Ovis aries: one gene and its partners. The protein of the gene in region 1 purifies or fractionates together with the protein of each later gene. This does not show direct contact. Links are inferred from orthologs where the notes say so. Each region holds a gene or a part of one and is shown in the gene's direction. Other genes may lie near its edges.

The links. The genes of interacting proteins can lie anywhere in the genome.
Region 2: the proteins of DPF2 (region 1) and SMARCD2 purify together in Homo sapiens (affinity purification with mass spectrometry; 6 studies listed by BioGRID and IntAct, counting the BioPlex papers as one, with this or other methods). This does not show direct contact. The link is inferred for Ovis aries from reciprocal best matches to the Homo sapiens genes DPF2 and SMARCD2.
Region 3: the proteins of DPF2 (region 1) and SMARCD1 purify together in Homo sapiens (affinity purification with mass spectrometry; 9 studies listed by BioGRID and IntAct, counting the BioPlex papers as one, with this or other methods). This does not show direct contact. The link is inferred for Ovis aries from reciprocal best matches to the Homo sapiens genes DPF2 and SMARCD1.

Annotation. Positions count from the first base shown.
Region 1 is NC_056074.1:39,982,377-39,988,356, forward strand, and holds the start of DPF2 (zinc finger protein ubi-d4), read left to right. Parts: upstream 1-1,807; 5' UTR 1,808-1,850; coding exon 1,851-1,882; intron 1,883-5,980. UniProt on the Homo sapiens protein: Plays an active role in transcriptional regulation by binding modified histones H3 and H4. Is a negative regulator of myeloid differentiation of hematopoietic progenitor cells. Might also have a role in the development and maturation of lymphoid cells.
Region 2 is NC_056064.1:47,806,714-47,812,077, reverse strand, and holds the end of SMARCD2 (SWI/SNF-related matrix-associated actin-dependent regulator of chromatin subfamily D member 2), read left to right. Parts: intron 1-611; coding exon 612-767; intron 768-1,179; coding exon 1,180-1,275; intron 1,276-1,414; coding exon 1,415-1,516; intron 1,517-1,663; coding exon 1,664-1,825; intron 1,826-1,955; coding exon 1,956-2,053; intron 2,054-2,212; coding exon 2,213-2,348; intron 2,349-2,508; coding exon 2,509-2,631; intron 2,632-2,749; coding exon 2,750-2,851; intron 2,852-2,942; coding exon 2,943-2,996; 3' UTR 2,997-3,877; downstream 3,878-5,364. Other genes in the region: PSMC5 (26S proteasome regulatory subunit 8), read right to left, coding at 3,985-4,038, 4,137-4,223, 4,313-4,423, 4,504-4,602, 4,706-4,896, 4,984-5,110. UniProt on the Homo sapiens protein: Involved in transcriptional activation and repression of select genes by chromatin remodeling (alteration of DNA-nucleosome topology).
Region 3 is NC_056056.1:136,217,006-136,222,496, reverse strand, and holds part of SMARCD1 (SWI/SNF-related matrix-associated actin-dependent regulator of chromatin subfamily D member 1), read left to right. Parts: intron 1-26; coding exon 27-124; intron 125-1,514; coding exon 1,515-1,650; intron 1,651-3,623; coding exon 3,624-3,986; 3' UTR 3,987-4,843; coding exon of another isoform or gene 4,844-4,945; 3' UTR 4,946-5,073; coding exon of another isoform or gene 5,074-5,127; 3' UTR 5,128-5,491. UniProt on the Homo sapiens protein: Involved in transcriptional activation and repression of select genes by chromatin remodeling (alteration of DNA-nucleosome topology).

The DNA of each region.
Region 1 (5,980 bases):
GGACATCTGCTTTCTTGCTGGGTCCTCACATGGCCTTTCCTCACGGATAGATCTCCAGCTGCTTCTTCTAATGAGGGCACTAATTCCACCATGAGAACTCCACCCTCAGACTGCATCTAAACTTAATTACCTCTGAAAGATCCCACCTCCAAATATTATCAGACTTAGTGGGTAGGACTTAAACCTATGAATGTAGGGGTGGGAGCTTCCCTGGTGGTTCAGACAGTAAAGAATCTGCCTGCAATGCACGAGACTGGGGTTTGATCCCTGAGTTGGGAAGATCCCTTTAGGAGGGAATGGCTACCCACTCCAGTGTCCTTGTCTGGAGAATTCCATGGGCAGAGGAGCCAGATGGGCTACAGTCCATGGGGTCGCAGAGTCGAACACAACTGACCAACTAACACTTCTACTTTTCACATTCATGCTGAAACACATACTTATGAATTCTTTTGGTATCACCTTTGATTCCCACAATCATTTGGGGAACAAGAGTGCAACAGTATTGTCCCTAGGTTTTCCTTCCAAGCTGCTGACATCTATTCTGCAAATTTGGTGCAGGGTAAACAATGACAAATACCACTCAACTCTCATCTGCCAAACCTGATTTTAAGGCACAATGATGGTAAGATGTGTCCTGATTCCGAAATACTAAAATGGGGGGAGGGCAGAGAATATGTGCATCTTAGAATTGATGAAATACGGCATATTACCAGGATCAAAGACCAAGCCCTGGGGACTCTGACGGGTCTAGGTAGATGTGAGGACAGAGAGCCAGTAAAAGAAGCTGAAGGAGCTGGCAGTGTGATAGGCAGCCAGCCAGGAGAGTGTGTGTCTCAGAGATGAGTTTGAAAAAGAAGTGACTGGCCAGTGTTGTCATGAGGGCTGATAGGCTGATAAAGACAGGGAGATCTCGAAATCTGTTGAAATGGAGATCGTGGTGTCTTTGTTAGATGTTTCAATGAACTGATGAGAACAAAATCGCCATTAAACTGGGCAGAGAGACACTTGGAAATAAATCAGCAGGGATAGTAAGTATAAACAAGAATATGTGCTCTGAAAGGGTGAAAAGAAAGAGGGTGATAAAGGCAGAAAGGGCTTAAGGAAGGGCTCTGATATTTTTTAAAGAGGATATTAAGCCATGTTTGCAGATGAATTTGCATGATTCAATAGCGAAGGAGAACTGAATGGTACAGGAGAGGAAGTTGCAGGAGAGAAGTTCTTCAGAGGAGGACAAGAGCTTAGGGGTAGGAAGCAGGGAAGAAGAGGTGGAGATCAATTAAGTTGGTGGCAGGAAGGTGGGGGAACTTTTGTCAGACCCAAATATTCAGGCCAAAGATCTGCCAGGTTCTTGGAGTTAATATTTCTCTCACTAAAGTGGGCAGCCCAAGAGGAGTGTGCACTGCTCTTACCTTCGGCTACCCACCAACCCCTGAGTCTGTACGTGAGGGCAAAGGGTTATTAACCACGAGGTTAAAGGTCAGCGAGGTAACAGGACGCATGACCTCCATCTAGACCACCTCTGGGCTTGCCAGTTCTCACCAACCTCTCACCTTCTCATTTATGGACCCGGTCAGATCCTCTCGCTTCTACCTTCTCACTAAAAGGATGAGGCAAAACTGGAGCAGAAGCCTCGGGGCGCGCGCCCGCCTCCATTGCGCCTGCGCATTCGTCCCCGGATTGCCAGGCCGGGGAGAACTGGCCAGAAGCTCATTCTCCGTCGCTCGCTCTCGGGCGCACGCGCCCCGGTGGCGCCTGCGCAGAAAGACAAGGAAATTGGTTCCCTCTGCGGTCCCAGCGCCTGCGCGCTGCGGGCTCCGGGCCTCCCGGCCTGAGGGAGAGAAGCCGGGAAGATGGCGGCCGTGGTGGAAAATGTAGTGAAGCTGTGAGTGGCCGTTTCTTTCTCTTCTAGCCTGGGAGGTCTTGTAAGGGACCTGGAAGCAGGGGGCGGTGTGGGAACGGACGAGGCGGAGAGAGGGACGTGCCCAGAGAGGCCGTGTTGCGACTCCTAGAGGGGAGGGCAACAGGAGACTCGGGAAAGACGTTGCGCTTCTTTGGAAACTTGTGGAGGCCCTGAGGGGGGCACACGGGAGCCCGTGACGGGCAGCCTCCCTGTGGGGCTGGGCGCTCCCTCAGGCGGAAGGTTTCCAGAGTATGGCGCCCTTGTTGCGTACGGCACACGGTCCGGGCTTCGCCTCCGTCCGGGAGAGCGGGGCCGACCCCCGCGAAGCCTGGCCGCCGGCCCCTCCCCGTCGGCTGCCCGCAGCGGGCCCCGGAGGAGCAGGCTCGGCCGCCCTGGCGCCGTTAAGCGCTCAGGGCTGTTTTGTTCTGAACAGCCCCGTGACGTTCCTGGGCGGGCGGGGGCGGGGGTGGGGTGGTCCTTGAGTATCAGGTACCCGAGACCAAAAATATTCCTGGGGAGAATTTGTGGAAGAGCAAGATCCAGAGGGAAAGAACTTCAGGGAAGAGGGGCTTGGCGCCGGCCAGTCCCAGCCATCGGAAAGTGGGCACTGGACGGACGCAGTCCAGGACGCCCTGGCCGCCCCGAGGGGCATCTGGGTCGACCTTCTTCGCTCTGCAATACTCTTGGACTGGGCAGATTTCAAGCAAAGTTAAAGTTCATGGTTGTTTGGCAGACTGAGAATGGCCTGTTAGCTGTGAGTTAAAGATGCTTTGGGACTTGATTTAATCCAGCCTCCTCCCCGAAGAAGAATCTCAATGAGTTTTCCAATGGGTTCTTGCACCCCCACCCCCGTCGGCCAATACAGCAAGCTCTTTAATGGACACATTTGGCTTGGTGCAGGGGTAGGAAAAATGAGGTGACCAGTTGTGCAGCTTGGCTTTTGGATTTTGACTGGGTGAGAAGGTAAAGGTTTGGGAACTCTTCTAAGGGGCACATAGCTTCTCAACTGTCTTTGTAGTAGGCTGAGCCCCACTCTTCCCAAGAGCCTTTTTTCTAAGAGTACATTGCTTCTCTCCCTCCCCCTGCCTGGAGCCTTTTCTTTGAGAATGCTTTCCCACTTCCATTAAGCTAAGTGCCTTCTCCTTGTGGGTTTTTTTTTTTTTCCTAACGTGCTTTCAGCTCCATCCTGCTGCCTATTTCAGCCACCCCTACTCCCAGCACTATTTATTATCTTCCTCTCTGATCTACCCACTTCAGTTTCCCCAGCACTCTCTCCAAGCTGACATTTCCCTCAATTTAGAAATGACGCTGCTGATCTACCATTTATATGTTATCCATACTGACTCAGATGTTCTTTCTTTGTTTCCCTGTCTTTCTCTTTGTTGACTGCCCCTGTCCCATTGTAAAGGGAGGTTTTACACAGGTTTCATGCCTCTCAAAAAAGAATCAAAGCTTCTACCTTGGAAAGCTTACTGTAATGGGGGAATGTCAAAACTTGCCTAGGTTTAAGAGTTTTATGTAGTGAGATTGTTTATGTTGGAAGACTTTCATCTGAGAAATAAGGTCACCAACCCTTTCATGCAGTATTGGAAGTGAGGGGTTGCCCGTTTAAATAGAGCTTGACTTCTTATTTCTCTTTAAAGATCTGTAGAGATAGTGAAGGTCACCAACTGCTGATTCCTGAGTACCAGTAATAAATAACCAACTTTCTACTCCTCAGTTCTAGCTGTAAAGAGCTGTGGACCACAGTTAATACATTTTCGTACAGAACCTGCTCTTTAAAAAGAGACTTCCAGTCTTCCTGTACCATTCTCATCCTGTAAAGAGACGCTTTTCTTGACCACGGTGTGCCTAGTCTTCTGACTGCTGAGGTTTTACATTGAGGTCAGGACTACTAGCTCATCTTTTCTGACTTGCATCTTGTTCTGGGAGAAGAATTTTCCTGTTTGTAAATTCTCCATCCCTCCCAAACGTGGTGTCAGAATTGAAACAATCTTTAAGAGGTCTTACAGGGCAAAATAATAGTATAAAAGAGCTGTGGTTGCTGAAATCCTCTGAGTTAGGTAACAAGATCTGGAGAATGTTAGCTTAAAATTTCTTGTAGGAGCCTTAGATTCTTAAGAGAGCTCTCTCATTCTTTTTTGCTCTATCCTCATCAGATCCTCTCTTCCTCCAACTTGTATTTCGTTATCAGCTCTCACTCACAATGCAGTTTGCCCCACCTTCTGAAATCCCATTTAACTCACCGGAGCTTTGATAGAACATCTCTCGTCATATCTCAACCCCACCCCCGACAGTTTCCAGCCTCCTTGCTCTGACTTTGCAGTTCTCAGCCTGTCTAGCCCTTCTTTCCATCTGACTTACAGTGTCAGTATCAATTTCCATCAGCAGAAACAAAGGCGCTGCCGCACTCAGCCTTGTTTATCCAATTTTCCTCTGTTTAGTGAGGACATGGCTGCCTCCTAAAGGCGAGCAAATATGAGCCTATTCCTTCTCTTTATTCTCCAGCACAGGCTTCATGCCTACCTCAAATTACAGTCATTACAGCACATTGAATCAAGCCAGACTATCTTGTGATGTCACTGCCTGCGTGCAGTGTATGTCTTTGTTGGTTGCTGGGAACGTTCTAAGCTGTGCCTCAGTGGCTGCCCCATGAAAGCCCCTCTTCGATTCCAGAGCAGGGTTTGTTGCTGCAGCTTGAGTTACGAACATAAACGACAGAGATTTACTGTGTTCAACTTCTCATGCTTGGAGTCTCCCTCTTGTAGAATATGTCAGAGCTTATCTAGTTCAGCCTCCCTAGTCAATAGCATACCTGAGATCCACGTGGGTTGACTAAATGTCCATATATGTGGTGACTTGCAGCCAAGCCTGATCTTTTTACTTCTGAGTCAGGATATTCCAGACACCTTCATGGGTGCTGAGGATATTGTGGGAAAGAAATCATCTGCCCTCAGTTTGTTTACTTTAAGATCAATCAAGGGAAATTCCCTGGCGGTCCAGTGGTTAGGACTTGGCGCTTTAACTGCTAAGGGCACAGGTTCAATCCCTGGTTGGCAAACTTTAAGATCCTTCAAGCCACGTAGTGCGAAGAAAGAAAAAGTTTGCTCGAATATATAAATGTGAATTGTGTTAGTTTAAGCTCTAGTATTACTGTGCTTGTTAAACCCTGAAGGATGAGAACAAGGTTGGTTCTGTATACATGCTTCTTAGAACCAGATTACTCCTGGCACTGCAGTTTTGCAGCTTTTTAAAGCTCTTGCTGCTGCTGCTGCTGCTGCTGCTGCTGCTGCTGAGTTGCTTCAGTCCTCTATGCGACCCCATAGAGGGCAGCCCACCAGGCTCCCCCGTCCCTGGGATTCTCTAGGCAAGAATACTGGAGTGAGTTGCCATTTCCTTCTCCAATGCATGAAAGTGAAAAGTCAAAGTGAAATCACTCTTAAAAAATTCAAATTTCAAAGGAGGTCTTTTGAGTTCAAAAAGGTTCTTAAAAAATTTGTTGGTGTGAGAATGGAGAAGGGTCTAGAATAGGCCTTTCTGCAAACAGGTTTTGTATCAGTGTAATGGTACTCAGTAGAAAGTAGGCTTCAAGGGTGTTCACATATTTCCAAATGATTTATATTGATTGCAAAGTTAGTATATAGAATTAGCTACTTTGCAAATACCTAGTTTAAAACTCAAAAGATATAAAATGGCACAAAGGAGAAAGTCCCCTAGTCACCTGGTTTTTCTCCTTGGACTCCTACAGTTTCTTTTCCACCACTTAGGGACATCCCATAGCACTGCTCAGCCCTGTACCCCCTCCCCTTTTTTTGTAGTTATCTTGGAGATTGTTTAATGTTTGTACATGAAGAGCTTCCTTTTTTTCTTATAGCTAAGTTGAATTTCTTTGTATAGATGGAGTTTGATAAACTTTAGTAAGTCCCCCCAGATCTTTTGAACTCTTCTCATTTGTAAACAGGAGTAACTTCAGCTTCTCAGAATCCTGAGGGTTAAGATAAGTAGCTCTTTGGTTACCAAAGTGTTGGATTCACGAGAGGCACAGAACAAACATTATTTTCTTCCCCTCTTTGTGGGTTA
Region 2 (5,364 bases), on another chromosome or scaffold:
TAGGATACAGCCCATTTAGCATGAATTTGCTTTGATGTGGTGAGGCCAGCCTGTTTTTAATGGAACATTAGGGTTGTAGAAATGATCATTCTTCACAGTAGCAAAGGAATTACGACATTTTTGATTCATATATTTGCATATATGTGCAGATCCTGGATCATAATTTAAAACAATATTATACATCATGGTCAGAAGTTTGAAAGGCAAAGCTGGAGGGTAGATGAGGATAGTTCCTGTCTTCTTCCCCGTCCCTAGAGAAATTTTATCTAGAGAACAGTTCCTTGAATGGTGGAGGCTTTCCGGGAGACGATGTTCTGTAGCCACGATGAGTGTTTGGGTTTCACTTAAACTATGAGCCAGCAACTTCTGATAGCACCCTCAGTGGATCTGTCACACCACCGATGCCCCTGTATTGGACCTTTTGGTACTGCATGTTTCCCCATAAAGTTGTGAGTCCCTTGAAGGTGAGGGATGAGATTTCCTCGCCCAGTTCCCAGGGCCTCACTAGGGGCCTGACCCATAGCACTCTCTGTATGGGTGTGAAATGAGTTCAGACGGGAGGATTGGGTAGCAGCTGGTCCCTGTCTAGTTAACCTGTTGTCTTTCTTTAGCAAAAACGAAAGCTGCGGATCTATATTTCCAATACATTCAGTCCCAGCAAGGCAGAAGGTGACAGTGCAGGAACCACAGGGACCCCTGGAGGAACCCCCGCAGGGGACAAGGTGGCTTCCTGGGAACTCCGAGTAGAGGGAAAACTGCTGGATGATGTGAGTTGGGGAAGGAGGTGTCTGGAGGGGCAGTGGTCTATGTGGGTTTCAGACTTGGGCCAGACACTTGGGCACTTCCGGGGTCATCCTGCTGGAGGGAGAGGGCACAGCACCCAGTCCAGAGGTGGGAGGTTTGTGTGGTTGTTACAGTGCTTTTCCTGCAGATGGCGATAGAGTGTCCTGAGGAAGGGGTGCCCTTGCTAATTCCGGTCCTTTACTGGCTGACAGCGGGGCTGCCTAGGGACCCTTTCTGTGCCTCAGGTCTCACTTTTCCCTGCTTCTTTCAGGGCCTGAGAATCCTCAGTACCCTGAGCTTTAGGACTGAAACAATATTCCTCTGTTCGGGGCTTAGTATGTGGCTTAGGCTTGAACCTTCAATGGCACCCCTGTCTCACCCCCTTTACATCCCCAGCCTAGTAAACAGAAGCGGAAGTTTTCTTCCTTCTTTAAGAGCCTCGTCATCGAGCTGGACAAGGAACTGTATGGGCCAGACAACCACCTGGTAGAGGTGAGAGCGGGCCTGGGGCTTGGGACCACAGGGTGCCGTGCCCGGCGGGCAGAGGAATGGCCTCAGTCCCCTTGCAGGGCCAGGTGCGTATGTTGCCCGCCCCTTTGGTGATGAGCTTGACTCCCCTTCCTCCTGCCAGTGGCACCGGATGCCCACCACCCAGGAGACAGACGGCTTCCAGGTGAAACGGCCTGGAGACCTGAACGTCAAGTGCACCCTCCTGCTCATGCTGGATCATCAGGTGACGAGTGCCCTGAGGCCACGTCTGGGCTCACGGGGACTGTCATCTGGGGCGGGGGCAGGTGCCCATTGGAAACCCTTCCTGTCCCTGCCCTAGCCTGCTTTGGGTTTTTTTTTCCCTCCTCTGACTCCCGTCTGTCCATGCCAGCCCCCACAGTACAAGCTGGACCCCCGCCTGGCGAGGCTGCTGGGGGTGCACACGCAGACGAGGGCTGCCATCATGCAGGCCCTGTGGCTCTACATCAAACACAACCAGCTGCAGGACGGCCACGAGCGCGAGTACATCAACTGCAACCGCTACTTCCGCCAGGTAAGCGGGCACACCGCCCCCTCCCCTTCCAGCCCCCGCCCGCCTTGCCTGTGGCGCCACACCGCCCCGGGACGGGCCACTTCCCCATGTGCCCACCAGGGCGTCACCGACCCTCTGGCGCCCTCCCCAGATCTTCAGCTGTGGCCGACTACGTTTCTCTGAGATTCCCATGAAGCTGGCAGGGTTGCTGCAGCATCCAGACCCGATTGTCATCAACCACGTCATCAGGTAAACGGGAAGGGGGAGGAACGCTGCTCTCAGGGGTTTGCCTTTGACTTCAATTAAAGCCAAAGCAAAGCAGCACGTTTGGTTTCTTGCTCCCTGGGTGTGTGTGGTCTTGCCCCGGGCGGGCGGGAGGGAAGTAGCTCTCTCCCGTGTGCCGTGTAGCGTGGACCCTAACGACCAGAAGAAGACAGCCTGTTACGACATTGACGTGGAGGTGGATGACCCGCTCAAGGCCCAGATGAGCAATTTTCTGGCCTCTACCACCAATCAGCAGGAGATCGCCTCCCTTGATGTCAAGGTGGGCCCCAACCTCCTCTGGGCCCCCAGTGAGCATGGGCAGGTGTCGGGCATTTCCATTTATATAGCACCTTGGGATGGGACCTGAGTCCTTTCGGGTTGGGGCTGGAAGCAGACCTTGTCGGGGTGGGAGCCAGTCTGACACGTACCCCTTTGCCCAGATCCACGAGACTATTGAGTCCATCAACCAGCTGAAGACCCAGAGGGATTTCATGCTCAGTTTTAGCACTGACCCCCAGGACTTCATCCAGGAGTGGCTCCGTTCCCAGCGCCGGGACCTCAAGGTGTGCCCCTTTTTCCTGAGGGTGATCCCACGTTAAGCTCTGGGGGTTCTGTCCCCAGCACCGTTCTTCTGGCTCAGGGGTGGGAATTGCGTTCAGCTCTGCTCCTGGTGCTCTACAGATCATCACTGATGTGACTGGGAACCCGGAGGAGGAGAGACGAGCAGCTTTCTACCACCAGCCCTGGGCCCAGGAAGCAGTAGGGAGGCACATCTTTGCCAAGGTGAGGCGGCTCTGCCCTGGCTGGCCTGGAGGGCATACCGGAGGGCAGGGTGGGCAGCCGGGCCTGAGCCGCTGGTCTGTCCCTGCTCCAGGTGCAGCAGCGAAGGCAGGAACTGGAACAGGTGCTGGGAATCCGCCTGACCTAACTGCTCAGGGACCCCTTCCTTTCTTCCCAGCCTGGAGCCACGCCCTCAGCCTGGAAGGGGACCACCCTCTGGGGCGCAGACACGTAGGATAACGAGGGGGTGAGGGGCATCTCCAGTTACCCTCGGCTCCCCGGCTTTAGTTTCTTAAGTGTAGTGATAGGATTCCTTGTTGCTTGGTCCTCCAAAGCCTTCTTACTTACACATTGGCTTTAACTGGGTTCACGAGAGGCCTCCTGTGCCCCCTGCAGGCAGGCCTGAGAAGGACCTGGAGGCTCTGCTTTGACATTTTAACCGAGACCTTTTGGAACCAGAGGCCCCTGGCTTTGCTTGTTTACAGACCCCCTTGGGGCGAGTGTCCACGCTGGCTCCAGGGAGCGGGGTGAGGAAGAGGAGCATGGCTCCCTTTCTTCCTAGCCTTTCCAAACCAAAGTTCTTTGCCATTCCTACCAGCCCAGCCTTGCTGCTGGTAATTTCCTTTCCTTCGGGTTATTTGCACTATTTGTGGAGCAGGATTTTCTATGCGGGAGCCACTTTTTTTATGGGGGTGTGTTGGGGGTTTTCAGGGAGCCCTACTTGGGGGGTCCCTTATTTTCTTTTCTCAATCTATGCAAGCGGCTCTGGCCGCCATCATCTCCTGCGATGCCAGAGGGCTGTCACCCCAGTTCTTGGGCCCAGGGTAACGCCTCCTAGGGAGAGGGCACCCTAATTCTCTGGCGTGGCCTGAGGCGTGGGTGTGTGTGTGCTCGGTGGAGGGCAGTGGGAGATGGGGAGGACTATTGTTGCTCTTTGGAGCCTGTTAAGGAGGGTGGGCCGAGGGCTTGGCAAACGCCACTTCTGGCAGGTTTGGAAATTTCCAAATAAATCTTTGTTTATTGGTGGTACCTAGACCTGGTGATTGAACAGTGCAGCTGCTGATTAACAGACTCGAGTCCTCAAGGTCCTGACCGGTAGAGCTTTATTTGAGGGATCCACACAAAGGACGTCTGCCTCACTTCCATAGTTTCTTGATGGACATGTTTTTCTCACTGTCCTTTTGCATGACCTGGAGAGAGAACATTTGAGTTAGAGACCCAGTGAACACGTGCCCGACCCCACTGCTCGAGTCACCACCAGCAAAGGCAGAAAGGCGTGGCCCTGTACCTTAGCTACTGCCATCTCGAAGTCCTCCTGCGTGACGTGCACTCGGCGCTCCCGCAGTGCATACATGCCAGCCTCGGTGCACACGCCCTGAGCAGGGAAAGAAGGGGGAGATGCCGCTGTGCCCTGAACCCAGTGCTTCCTGCCTCTGCCCCCTTTCCCTTGGGCACTCCTGTTACCTTCACTTCAGCCCCTGACGCTCCCGGCATGAGCTCAGCAATTTTTCTCAGGTTGATCCCCCGGGTCAGGTTCATTTTCCGAGAATGGATCTTCAAAATGTCCAGCCGGGCCTAGCGATGGGAGGGGAAAAGCCTAAGCCCAGGGCCTACCGCCACAGCTGGGGCTGCTGCCAATGCTGCTTATTACAAACCTCCTCGTTGGGGGGTGGGAATTCAATTTTCCTGTCTATGCGCCCTGGGCGGAGTAGCGCCGAGTCTAGGATGTCAATCCTATTGGTTGCCATGATAACCTGAGTGGACAAAGCAGGTGGCGTCAGCTAAGCCCTTCCTAAGGCAGGCTGCACCTCACCCAGGGCCTTCCCTTGGTCCTTCCCCAAGCCGACCCCACCGTACCTTGATATTCTTGGTGGCCTCAAAGCCATCCAACTGGTTGAGCAGCTCCAGCATAGTGCGCTGGACTTCACTGTCCCCTCCAGAGCCCCCCTCCAGCCTCGAGGAGCCAATGGAGTCAATTTCATCCATGAAGATGATAGATGGAGCGTGTTCTCGGGCCATGACAAACAGCTCCCTCACCATCCGCGCCCCTGTGCAGAGACCAAGCAGGGTGTCAATAAGCCAACGAGTTCCGCCCCCTCACCCCCGCTTAGTTTCATGTTTCTGACCACAGTTACCTTCGCCGATGAATTTCTGTACCAATTCAGAGCCAGAGACACGAATGAAGGTGCAGTCTGTATGATGCGCCACAGCCCGGGCCAGCAGCGTCTTCCCCGTGCCTGGAGGTCCATACAGCAGTACCCCCTAGAGAGCAAGGGTGGGGCTCAGGGAAGGAAGCTGGCCCCCATGTTTCATTCAAGGAACATTTATTGAGTGTTTGCACTGTGCCAAATCTCACGTTAGACGTTAGAGATAAAGTAAATGTCAAAGTCCTTTCTGGAGCTTATACCCAAACTATCTGATGGCCTGGTAGCGTCTCTTCCCCCAGCCCCTGGGTGAGCAGGACCAGTGGAAGCAAGCTCCAGTCTACCCGGCTGGGGCAAGTGTACAGTAGCAGC
Region 3 (5,491 bases), on another chromosome or scaffold:
TTAGCTGCTTCTCCTCTTTCCCACAGATCTTTGAGTCTCAACGTATGAAGTTTTCAGAGATTCCCCAACGGCTCCATGCCTTGCTTATGCCACCTGAGCCCATCATCATTAATCATGTCATCAGGTAAGCATGTGTACGCAAGGCAGTGTGTGCTGGAGCTGGCTTGTACCACCTGCGCAAGTCAGTTCTCAGAATTTTTAGGAAATTTATAAGCAGGTTGTTAAACACAGTCATTATTTAGGATTATATAAACTTGCGATTAAATACATTATATAAAAAATAAGTGTAAATGTACTCAGAAGGTCATCATATCTGAGTTGTTATATTGGTTTACCGGTGTTTGGGCTTCCCTGGTGGCTCAGATGGTAAAGAATCTGCCTGCAATGCAGGAGACCCAGGTTCAATCCCTGAGTCAGGAAAATACCTGGAGAAGAGAATGGCAACCCACTCCAGTATTCTTGCCTGGAGAATTCCATGGACAGAGGAGCCGGGCTGGTTACAGTCCGTGGAGTCTCAAAGAGTCAGACACGACTGAGCAACTGACATACACATACTGGTGTGTGTTTTTGAAGTTACTTCTGTCTCTTGTGTCTGTGTGGTGGAAATACTGTCTAATGATGTGTTACTGCACATCCCTTCCCAATTCCTCGATGAGTGATATAATGTCAGCATCTTGAAATCAACCGTGTGGAGAATATTTAAAACACAGAAATTAGCAAATGCTCCAAGTCAGGGTTTTTTCTTACCGTTCTTTTTCTCTTTTGGAGAATCAGTTATTAGAATTTATCAGCTCATCACTGATGAACTCCTGTCTTTTCTCTGGGTGGTAGGACATTCCAGTCTGAGACTCCAACTCCCATTACCTCTGTCTGCTTTTCTGTTCAGAAGATGGATGAACAAGGCATGTTTAGGCAGATAGTGAAAGAAGGCACTTTCTCCTCAGAGCACCATGCCTTCTGGCTCTACATAGTCTTTGCCTTCTTTCCCTTACTCCATATTAACTCCAGTAAAGCTGTCCTTTCGCTAGACCCTGAACCATCATCACTCAGCTGATAGTAATTCCTACAACCCATACGCTGGGTCAGTAGAAGCTAGTTTGTCCTATATTCATGTGGTTAAATTTAGGCCACGTTTTATTTTGTGTGGTGTGTGTTTACTTGAATGTATTTTCAGAGTCAGTTTAAGTTTAATAAGTAAAGATACTGTAGCAGTGGTCTCTTTGTGGGGAAGGAGAAACTTACTTTTCATTGGCTATCTTTTGTACCATTTGACTTTTTACCATTACTACTGAGGCTTATATGCAGTATATTGCACCCAGTTAAAATCTGATGATTTTTGGCTGATGTGCACATCCTATAGCTACCACCGCAGGGAGAGTACAGAGCATTTCTGTCACACCAGCAAGGTCTCTGGTACCCTTTTGCAGTCAACTCCTTGCCCTTCAGTCTAAGACTTATGTAATTAGGTCTTAGGGAACAAGCCCTTTACCAGGCCCCCTTGGTTTCCTCCTCAGTGTTGACCCGAATGATCAGAAGAAGACAGCTTGTTATGACATTGATGTGGAAGTGGATGATACCTTGAAGACCCAGATGAATTCTTTTCTGCTGTCTACTGCCAGCCAGCAGGAGATTGCTACCCTAGACAACAAGGTAGGGACCATGGCCTGGATGGTTGGGTGTCACCAGCCCTCTATCACAGCTTCTTGGCTTCTTTGATTTTTGATATTCGTTCAAAATATGTTGATACCCAATATATGCTGGGCACTCTGGTGCTGGTTGGAGCCAGACGCACATAAGTTCTGATTCTTAACTATATCTCTTAATAGCTTTGAGCCTCAGTTTCTGATCTGTGAAACCATAATGCCTATTTTTCTAAAGTTGTTATGAGGATTAAATGAGACAATGTATGTGAAGACATGACGTTGTATCTGGCACATAAAAACAAATGGCGGCTGCTGCTTCTGTTGTTATTACCGTGAACGTTATTAGACATAGTCCATGCAAGTAAAGCCAGAAAGGCTCTGGGAACACAAAGGAAAACAGAAAGGCTTTCTTGGAAGAGGTGATGCCCCAACCTAATCTTGAAGGACATGGGAGTCAACATGGGAGTTGGACTATAAAGAAAACTAAGCACCAGAGAATTGATGCTTTTGAACTGTGGTGCTGGAGAAGACTCTTGAGAGTCTCTTGGACTGCAAGATCAAACCAGTCAATCCTAAAAGAAATCAGTCCTGAATATTCATTGGAAGGACTGATGCTGAAGCTGAAACTCCCAATACTTTGGCCACCTGATGCGAAGAACTGACTCCTTGGAAAAGACCCTGATGCTGGGAAAGATTGAAGGCAGGAGAAGGGGAAGACAGAGGATGAGATGGCTGGATGGCATCACCGAGTCAATGGACATGAGTTTGAGCAAGCTCTAGGAGTTGGTGATGGACAGGGAGGCCTGGCGTGCTGCAGTCCATGGGGTCGCAAAGAGTCGGACACAACTGAGCGACTGAACTGAACTGATGGGAGTCAAGAAAAGGGGAGAAAGGATGATGGTACTTGAGGGTGTGGGGGGCAGAGGACATTCCAGGAAGAGGGAGCAGGGCATATGCAGGCCCAGAGATGAGCAGAGAACCTGGCATGTTGAAGAAACACCAGCTCTTCACTGTGTTAGATAAAGCTCGGGGTGCCAGGGGGAAGAAATGAGAGGGAAGCAGGAACCTAGTCCTGAAACCGCTTTGAGGCAGGGTAAACTGGTTTATACTTTGTCCTGAAAATGGGAGGGCCTGGTGCTGTTTTATTTAGAATGCTCACTGGCAGGATAGTGGGAGGTGAACTGTAAGGGGGTCAGATCTGGGGGAAGGAAGCCTAGGTGGGGGATGGTGCAATAATGCGCATGATGTATGCTATGGGCCTAACCTTACGGCGCTGATCGTGAGGACGGATGGACGTGAGCAGCTAGGTTTGGGAGGTGTTGAGGTGGAACTGTAGGGATCTGGACACTGGATGGAGAGGTGGGGTGAGGTGTGAGGGAGAAGAGGTGTTATGAAGACCTCCAGGTTTTCAGCTGGAGTGTGCAGTTGTAGTCATTCAGATTGGGAGCAGGAGAAGCAAGCCTTGGGAAAAGGTAGTGCTTTTGTTTTGGGGAGTTTAAGGTGTCTTGAGGTGTCAAGCAGATGCATCAGTAGGAGTGTAGAAAATGGTCTGTGATCTGCAGCCTGGGGACTCGTTACCGTCAGTGGTGCTGGAAGACATACAAGTAGATGAAATTACCAGGAAGAGAGTGGAGCATCAGCGAACAAAACCCACGGACCACAGCTGCAGAGACAGCCCTGTGTACCACTTTTTTTCTACCTGAGAGTTTCCGTTTGTGCTGTGGATTAAAAATTTCCCATGTAGTGTCATCCACAGTGGACATGGTGCAGACTGTAAGGAAAACTTCACACACGGGCGGTGGACAGAGACAGCGCCAAGCGCCAGAGCAGGTGGGGCCCTGGGCAGCAGTGCCATTTGGGGGCTGCATTCTGTTCCTTGGTTGGGAGTGGCACAAGGAGAAGTCATACATTGCCTGCCACTTAACTTTGCTTTTCCCCAACGTGGAAATGTTACGAACTTCCTTTCCTTCTTCCTTTCAGATCCATGAGACAATAGAGACTATCAATCAGCTGAAGACCCAGCGGGAGTTCATGCTGAGCTTTGCCAGAGACCCTCAGGGTTTCATCAACGACTGGCTACAGTCCCAGTGCCGGGACCTCAAGGTAGGGAACCGGGGACAGGTGCAGAGAGACTTGGGCCCAAGAGGCACATGTCTGCTCTGTGTCTGTAGCGTGTGGTGGAGAGCCGGGGAGAGGCGAAGGGCCAGACTTCCTTCAGCGTGTTCTAGTAGGGAAATGGAAATGAAACCGTCAAGTGTTTATCTCGTATTTACTGTGTGCTGTCACTGTGCTCACGTTGTAGGGGATACAGACTGCAAAACTCGGCCCCTGCTTTCAAAGTAGCATCCATTCTGTTTGAGAAACCAGGCTAATGGGATTTTAAAAGTAATAAATCATGTGCGACATTATCAGAATTTCACCGGTACCAATAAGATGAAACAAAGGAGAAGGGAGATTGGTGAGACTAGGATAGCTTGGAAAGGCTTTCTGGAGAATTTGGGATTTGAGAGAGGGGTGCTCTCTGAGAGGAGCTCGCAGAGAGAGGAGCACCGCAGGCTCAGGCAGGAAGGCAGGAGTGAGCACAGTATGTGAGACGCCCTCAGTTCTCGCCTGTCCTGTGCTGACTGCAGCCAGCCTGGCCAGAGGAGCAGGGCACGGGGGTGCCAGGAAGGATCCCTGAACAAGGCAGGGGCTTGTCCACAGCATGAGTGGCTTGGGGTGCTGTTTTAGTGGTTTAGTAAAGTACCACGGCTCCCGTGGCTTAAACAAGGGAAATGGATGGTCTCACAGTTCTGGAGGCTAGAGCCTGAAGTCACAGTGTCAGCAGGGTTTGGCCCCTTCCAAGGGTGGGGAGGGAGAGTCTGTTCCAGGCCTCTCTCCTGGCTTTTAGTCGCTCAGGTGCTTCTTGGTTGGCAGCTGGTGTTCTCCATGTGTGTTCCCCTTGTCTTTCCTCTGTACGTGTCTGTCTCTGTGTCTGAGTTTCCCCTTTTTATTAAGATACCCATCATTGGATCAGGCCCACCCTAATGACCTTATCCTAACTTGATCATCTGCAGAGACCCTATTTCCAAAGAAGGTCACATTCACAGGTACCGGGGGGTTAGGAGTTCAGTATCTTTTAGGGGACACTGTTCAGTCCATAACAGATGACAAGGAAGGAAACAAGCCTGTTCTCTCTCCCGCTTCCTGTTCTGTCTCAGGTCATGACTGATGTGGTGGGTAACTCAGAGGAGGAACGCCGAGCAGAGTTCTACTTCCAGCCTTGGGCCCAGGAGGCTGTGTGTCGATACTTCTACTCCAAGGTAGGCACCTGGGGTGCAGAGGGGAGACCGACAAAAGGCAAGGGGTCTGCACCTGGTGGGGCTCAGTAGCTTCAAGAACAACTTGTGGTTTGTCTCATCCTCCACTCCCGCCACTATTTTCTCCTTAGGTGCAGCAGAGACGGCAAGAATTAGAGCAAGCCCTGGGGATCCGAAATACATAGGGCTTCTCCCACAGCCCTCATTGGCTGCACCGATTTCTTTATTGGGCCCTGTGCTGCCTGCCTTATGGCACCTGCCTTGGTCTTGCTTGGGGCTTTCCAGGGGATGCTGTCGGTTCTAAGACAACACCAGAATGAAGAGGGTCTCACGTGACACCGGCTCTCCTCTTCTCCCACCCCATCCCTTCCTATCCCCAGCTTCCCTTTGCCCTACAAAGTTCCCATGTGCCTCTCCCCTCCCCTGGTCTGCATAGGACCTCTAGATAGTATTAGAGAGAGAACCTGTAGTGGTAATCAGTGCATTGAATGGATTGGGCCTAAGGCCAAGTGGTCTTCAAGGGGACCAGCTACACTGATCCTGCCCTTC